2 linked regions of the Xenopus tropicalis genome follow. The protein of the gene in region 1 purifies or fractionates together with the protein of each later gene. This does not show direct contact. Links are inferred from orthologs where the notes say so. Each region holds a gene or a part of one and is shown on either strand. Other genes may lie near its edges.

Region 1 (3,649 bases):
GCCTGTCTCTTGGTGCTTTCTCTTTCCCTGTTTACTATAGCCAACATTCTCAGCTCTATAAACTATGGTTAATGTTAAAGGGGAACTGCTCCCAAAATCTTTTTCTTTTTTGCATTATGAAAGGAAGCAGAGTGCTAAGCAATATTCCAGTGTTCAGTAAAGATGAAACAATGGGCTGAAAGTGATTTGCAATTGCTACTGAATGTGTATATCCTCTGCACCGTGGGTTCTGACTCTTGAAAAGAGGTTGCCGAAGCCAGACGGCTAACAGACCAGAAGGAGAAGAGACTTCTTGCTACATTATTTGCACAGTCAGAGCCCCCCGGAACAGGAGAGAGGGGCACAGATCTCAGTAGCAATGACAGTCACATATCAATTCCAATGGACATTTCTAAGGAATGGATATTGGGAAATTGCTTAGAATTATCTTTCATTGGGCAAAGCGCAGTTTTGGGGTGCAACTCCCTGATTGGTAATAACTCCTGCCGTCATAAAGGCACTGGGATATTGCTTAGAATTATCTTTCATTGGGCAAAGTGCAGTTTTGGGGTGCTACTCCCTAATTGGTAATAACTGCTGCCGTCATAAAGGCACTGGGATATTGCTTAGAATTATCTTTCATTGGGCAAAGTGCAGTTTTGGGGTGCTACTCCCTGATTGGTAATAACTGCTGCCGCCGTAAAGGCACGGGCAGTTGGAAACCCGGCGTAGGACTGAGAGACTGGCACGCTGGCAGCCACGCTGGGCACAGGGGTCTAAGGGAAACCCATACCAAACGCAGGATGGAAAAAAAACGTAAACACTCGGATTAAGACCAAACCTCTAAATCTAGTAGGAAAGTGTCACCTGGGGGGGCAAATAGGGGGCCCTTATATGAATGGGGCAATAGAGCCGCGTTTCTATCCCTACGAAACCGACGCAAGGCGAGCAACTGGAATTCTGCTCTTTCCGAGACATTAAAAATCAAAATATTGAATTTTTTTTTAAAAAAACAAAACAAAAAACTTTACACGATTAAAAATTTGAAATTTGACAATATTTAAATTCCCCCCTTCCAGTTACGATCTGACTCCTAAACCGCTCATAAAGTGATTTACAGAGAAAAAAAAATGCCCAACATTGCTTTAACCCTTCAGCTGCCAGATGTGCCACAAATCCATAGTCAGCGTTTTCTTTTCCAGCAAAATGGCACAAAAAAACCCCCCCAAAACTAAAAAAACACAGGAAATTTGCAGAACTACAACTCCCAGAATTCTCAACAAAATATCAGCCACATTGTCCACAAGCAACAGATTAACCCTTCCGGTTCCAGGCCCAATAAATTGATCCATACAAACTGGCACTTGTTACAATTACGCCTGAATCTGTCCCTCTGTGCCCTCCCTACGTGGATTTTATTAGGAAACATTTATATTGGGAACTGCCACTCACTAAGGAAAAACTTGATGCCAATTCAGCAGATATTTGAGCCATTTACCAAATAAAACAAAGCAAACAGATCTATAAATATATATAAAAATCCCAATTAATTCTATAGGGTGCAAGTAGGTTGATTAGCAGAAAAGACAATATTATTACATATTATTATTACATATATTTAACATTATTCTCTACTCCCCGCAGCATATTCAGCACAAGCGTTAGAGCAGTTAGAGCAGCCGGGCAGGGGGGCCCCAGTGCAAAATGGGCATTTTTAGACATTTAACTAATTATACATTATGCCTGGTACAGATCTTGGCAGTTGGGCACTGGGATAAAGTGGCATATGGGGTACATGGCAGGGGGTCTGTGGGGCACTGAATGGGTTTAATATTCTGCCTTTCATTTAACAGCTGCCCCTTTGGATACAAGGTGTTTAGTATATAGGTGCCCAGTATATAGCAGTGACTGGGGGAGCACTAGCCAAGCTGGCATGGGATTATGGGCATTCGCTGGTTAATGTGCCCAGCAGATGTGTAGGAATGGCACTACAGCGGCACTATGCAGTTCTGCCCCATGTTACACTGGGCAGTCGCTTCCACACAGTTAAAAGAATAGAATTAAACATACAATGTGCCATCTGTGCCAAGTTTACACAGCAACACAGCGACACTGGCACATTAATAATAATAGGGATTTAATAATAGGGGTCTCTATTAAACTGCAATATTCTACATACAGTCTAACGAGGGTTCAGTATATATAAATGTATATAACAGGGATGGGGGCAATTGAGTTAGATATACTGGGCCTTTGGGGTATCTCCCATATACAGGGATAGAGCACTGGCAGTGGTTCTGGTTCTGTATAACTGGATCTGGGATTCTGCTGCCTGGACCCTAATATATATATATATATATATAGTGACAATATGGATACATTGTGTATAAGGGACTGGGGACACATTTGGGCACATTTCCTCCCAGAAGCTTTAGAGAACTGATATGGGGATCCCTCTATGGAAATACAGGACCCATATATTCCCAATATGCCCAATATATATACATTCTAACATAGGGGCTCATGGAAGTGAGTATAGAAATGTAGTATGGAGGCAATAATCCTGCATTGTGAGTCTGGGGGGCATTTAGTAAATGCGCTATTTCCAGCCATAACGCTAATTTGGCTCCATATATAATATATATATACTCTGTATAGAAGCGATAGGGGCAACTGCTGGGCTCACTGACCCAATATAGACACATTCTAACATATGAGCTGATAGAAGTGAGTATAGAAATGGAGTATGGGGGTAATAATCCTGCATTGTGAGTCTGGGGGGCATTTAGTAAATGCGCTATTTCCAGCCATAACGCTAATTTAGCTCCATATATACTATATATATACACTCTGTATAGAAGCGATGGGGCAACTGCTGGGCTCACTGGCAACACGTACCTACCTGCCTTCTGCTAAATGTACTATTTATAGCGATGGCGCTAAGTTGCCCATACCGCTGTACATACACAGCACCGGGGTGGCGCTGGATACAGTCTGTGGGTGCATTTTGGGCGCAGGCGGTATGTTTGGTGGGAAGGAGGGAATTGCGCCGAGTTGCACTGGCCCTGCGGCAGGTTAGTAAATAGCCCCCGGCACTCACCTTGAAAGCCACCGGCAGGGTCTTGTTGCAGCGCCAGTGGGAGGGCAGCACTGAGCACAGGAAGTTGGGGCTGTCAGTCCGCACCAGCTCGGCCGGGTGATCCGCGATGATCTCCACCATGGTCCGGTTATCGGGAGCCCGCAGCCGGGGGACCGCCGCCCCCTCCTGTTGCTGCGGCTGCTGGGACTGTTGGGGCTGCTGCGGGCCGCCCACCGGGCTCACGTCGCTCATCTTGCCGGGCTGGAGGCTGTTGGAGGGCGGGCTGAACCTCCGGCTGGTGCTGGGATCTACGGGAATACGCATCACAACAGCCAGGGGTTATTAGCAAGGCGGGGGCAGCAGGGGGGTAACAAGGAGGGGATGCGGCACCCACTTACTGACAGGGCACAGTGCCCGGCATGGGCACAGGGGGGCAAGCAGGTACCGGTGGGGCAGCAGGAGGGCTCCCTAGCGAGTCTGAGGGACTGGGCGGCAGTTACAGTGAGTGCGGCTTCCCCCGCTGGGCAGTCCCTGTGAGGCTGTCGGGGTGCAGGGAGCAGTAATTGGCGGAGCGGCCCCGGAGCGCTGTGA
Region 2 (3,749 bases), on another chromosome or scaffold:
TGCGACTTTTGGGGTAGTCCAGGAGATATAGGGGGTCACAGTGGCCATGTCTTACTGGAAAAGTGAAGGGGTCCTAAATGGTTTTGCTATTAAACCCAAACGAGTCTAGTGGCAGCAGTGCAAATGTGTGTGTGACGTGACTGATGCTGAACTACAGTTTTCAACAGCAGCGCCAGTTGCAGGGAATCGTACACGGCGTAGGAGCTGCCATACAAACACACCGATCAGTACGGGCCGAGCTCCGGCTACAGGACTGGGTACTAAGAAGCAGCGCTGCTCTATTTCCAGGAAAGGGCGCTCTGAGGTCACAATTCCCCACCCCGAGTCGGGCTAGGACTCTCCGTTCTGCCTGCAGGGGGCCCCCGCCGCCTCTCACCGTAGCACCCGCCCAGCACCGGGAGGGGACGGGATCCGGAAAGAGCAGACGTATCCCACCCCCGAAAGGGAGGAACTTCTGGCTGGGAGCCGGGATTCCTGTTGGGCGCGTCGGGAAGCAGCAGCGATGCGGTCCCGGTAACTGTACAACCCTAGTCCGGTGCGAGGGAGGATTAGCGCGGCAGCGACCCCCAGGCAAAGCCGGGTTCCTAGCCGTAAGGGCGGCCCGACTGAGCACTGCCGCATACCCAGCGGTACTCTCCCGTCTCCAGTCCCAGGGAGGGGTCGCTCCAACCTGACACAACCCACTGACTCTACCGAAGAACCGTCTCACCCGGGAACCCCTGACCCTAGCGAGTAATGCCTGCGGGGCTGGTCCTTACTGGACCAAAACACCAGCTTTCCGGGCACCCTATCCCGCTTAGTCCAACCCCCACCCCGGGCTCTGACTCTCCGTACCAGTAAATAGCATCTTTTCGAGCCCCCGTCCGTAGCGAGGAATACACCCTAACCTACCGCCCGCTTCCGAACCAGCGGCTCCCGAGAAAAGCGCTCCCCCCTTTGTTATGGACCAGCCGTAGCTCCGGCGTCCGCTCCTTCCCTGCCGCGGCACGGCTTCCACTAGTACGGATCAGCCCATTCCGCGACCCAGGGGGAGCCTCCGCCTTAAAACGCTTTTCATTGGGATCGCTGGTAGCCCCGACTCGTTCACCCTGTGCCGGGAAGCCGCTTGGGCTGCCTTGAGCAAGGTGCGGGGAAAGGCTCCGAATCGGATTCGGCTAAAGCAGAGCCCGTATGGTTAAACCATCAGACGATCCAGTCGGGCTGCCTGCGGTAGTATAATGCGCCACAGGCTCGGCCGACTTTCACCCACCTCGTTATTTGCCCACAATGGGTCCCTTCGCTTCTACCCGCGAATGATTCTTTCGCTCCCCGTTAGACACCGGCCGACTGCCTCCTTAACTACCGGCAGCGCAGTCCAGGCAGCATCTGTTCTTCCCGGGAAACAGGGTCACCTTCTACCCCCTCTCCGCTCCTACTCACCGTGAGAAGCGCCGTCCCCAGCCCGAGTCCCCTGCCAGCCCACGTGTCGCGCCCGGAAGCCCCGCAACAGCAGCCGGACGCCCCCTCGCGTTTCCCCGCAATATGCACCCGAGCCCCGGCCAGCTCTGCCTCATGTTCCCGGCCCCCTCCCTTCGGTGCTCCGAGCCGTGTCGGCGCAGCTCCCCGCAATCTTCCCGGGCACCCACCTCTCTGCTCCCCTGGGAACGTCTCTCTCCTTCCCCCTCCGCAGCTCTTACCTTGTTCCCAGCTGCCGGGCCTCACCTTCCGGCCAAGGGGGGAGGAGGAGCCGGAGACTCGGGGGAGAGCGACCTCAGCAGCCCCAGCGCGGAACTAGCAGCCTCTTCCCGAGAAAAACAAGCCAAAGCCCGAGGGGAGGGTGCCTGGGAGAGGGCGCAGCGGGAACCCGGGCTGCTATTGCCCTTATTGGGTTCCACACTGCCCGTCACATACAGTGCCCTTCCCCGCATTAAACAAACCCATGCCCCGCAGGGTGAGCCCGGGCAGGGAAACTGAGGCTACACGTACCTTCCCCATAACCGCAACGGGGTGAGTCGCGCAAGGTGACCGAGAAAAGTGCATGTTTCTCGGCAAGCCCGACTGAATCGTGCCCGCTTGGAGGTGACATTTTCCCCGGGTTTCCCCGCACACTAACGCCCTTCGGTGGCTACAAATTCCCCGGCCGGTAGTGGATTTTATACTAATCCAGCGATCTGTGCCGTATCCGTCCCCAGGTGCCCGCAGACCCCCAAGCCGGCTTACCCCACTGTCTCTCCCAGGGATGTTGGGGGGAATCTGCTTGTCCGGATCTCGGAGACAAAGCGGCTGCGGCAGCCCCTGGGTAATGGCGAGAGCTCCGGGGGAGGGGGGGCGCTGCCTGCTCCTTCTCCCCGCCCAGCGTCGCTGCAGCAGCAGCCGGGCAGACAGAACGCGGGGAGCCGCCTCCTCCTCCTCCCGCTGCTGCACCCTACACAGCCCGGCAGGGGGGCCTCGCCAGCTCCGGGGGAGTTCTATGGAGCTCAGTGAAACCCACCTCCTGTGTGTGTGTGTGCAGCCCGGGCTCGGCTTCCTCCTCCCCTGTACAAGGCTGGGGAAGCGGCGCTTGAATGATGGCCAGATCTGCAGCGCTGGCCCCGGGCGTGGACTCAGACCCAGTCCCCGCAGAGAGCTCGCACTTCCCCCGCCTCCATCGCTCTCCGTGCCTATACAGCCTTCCAATCAGCCAGGCCCCCTCCAATCTCTCCCTGCAACAGGCTCCAGCTGATCCCTCCATCCCTCCCTTTCCTCCATCCAGCCAGCACCGCAATCTGCTCCCCATTACCAGCTGCCGCTACAGGCACCCCTCACATTCACCTCATACGGCAGCAATTTGCTTCCAGCTGTTGTCCAACTACAGCTCCCAGATAGGCTGTGCGGGCATTCTGGGAGCTGTAGTCCAACAATACAGTGATCATGGTTGAAGCAGGGCTTGGTGGCTGCTCAGATCCGGCGGCTGCTGGCTGCTCAGCGCTTCCAACCATACACAGGCGCTAAACCCCCCATAACAGGTTTTTATTCCCTATATGTTGTTCCTGTCTGACTCTTATTTATCTTCTCCTTTTTTTTAACCTAATTTTTTTTTTGACTCCACCTTTGTTGTTGAAAGCGTCAGAGAGAGGGAGCCAATCATGGGGGAAGCTTTCCTGGCACATCAAGGAGGGTTTCTTCTCTCTCTCTCTTTAACATGAACAGCAATCAGGCATAATGAGCGGGGAGCAGCTAGAGATGCCAGGAGCCCATACTGTGCCAGGGGAAGGGCTTTGCGCCTTACAGTTATTAACCCTTATTTATATGGTACTGACACTGCAGCAATGAGCAGAGATTGTACACCAGCCCCCGCTCCAGTGGAGCTTACAATCTAAGGTTGCTACCACATTCACTAGGGTCAATTTATCAGTACCACTTAATCTGCCTGTATGTATTTGGAGTGTGGGAGGAATCCCAGGGAGTTGCAGCTAGTGCCCAGGCTAGAATGAAACCCAGACAGCAGTGCTAACCAGGGGTGTAACTATATACAGGGTTGAACTGGGGGGCCCTGTCCTGGCCCCCACTGTCTGCTCAACTCCCTCTGCCGTGTGTCTTAGCTTATGTGCAACAGGGGAGAGAGCGCCATGGGTTTTGGGCCCAGTCCAACCCTGACTGGGGTGGGGGGCCCGACTGCAGGGTCTGCTGTGCCTTAGTCCCCCCTCCCAGGCCCCTTTCCTACCTTAAATATACTGGTGCAGTCTGGCCGGATGGAGGGACTGGTTGCGCCGGACCCTCTCAAAAGCTTT

The links. The genes of interacting proteins can lie anywhere in the genome.
Region 2: the proteins of runx2 (region 1) and ubtf purify together in Homo sapiens (co-immunoprecipitation; 3 studies listed by BioGRID and IntAct, with this or other methods). This does not show direct contact. The link is inferred for Xenopus tropicalis from reciprocal best matches to the Homo sapiens genes RUNX2 and UBTF.

Annotation. Positions count from the first base shown.
Region 1 is NC_030681.2:147,583,354-147,587,002, forward strand, and holds part of runx2 (runt-related transcription factor 2), read right to left. Parts: intron 3,367-3,649; coding exon 3,080-3,366; intron 1-3,079. UniProt on the Homo sapiens protein: Transcription factor involved in osteoblastic differentiation and skeletal morphogenesis. Essential for the maturation of osteoblasts and both intramembranous and endochondral ossification.
Region 2 is NC_030686.2:18,523,216-18,526,964, forward strand, and holds the start of ubtf (nucleolar transcription factor 1), read right to left. Parts: upstream 2,627-3,749; 5' UTR 2,200-2,626; exon of another isoform or gene 1,966-2,199; intron 1,831-1,965; exon of another isoform or gene 1,420-1,830; intron 1,392-1,419; exon of another isoform or gene 1,250-1,391; intron 1,189-1,249; exon of another isoform or gene 892-1,188; intron 799-891; exon of another isoform or gene 222-798; intron 1-221. UniProt on the Homo sapiens protein: Recognizes the ribosomal RNA gene promoter and activates transcription mediated by RNA polymerase I (Pol I) through cooperative interactions with the transcription factor SL1/TIF-IB complex.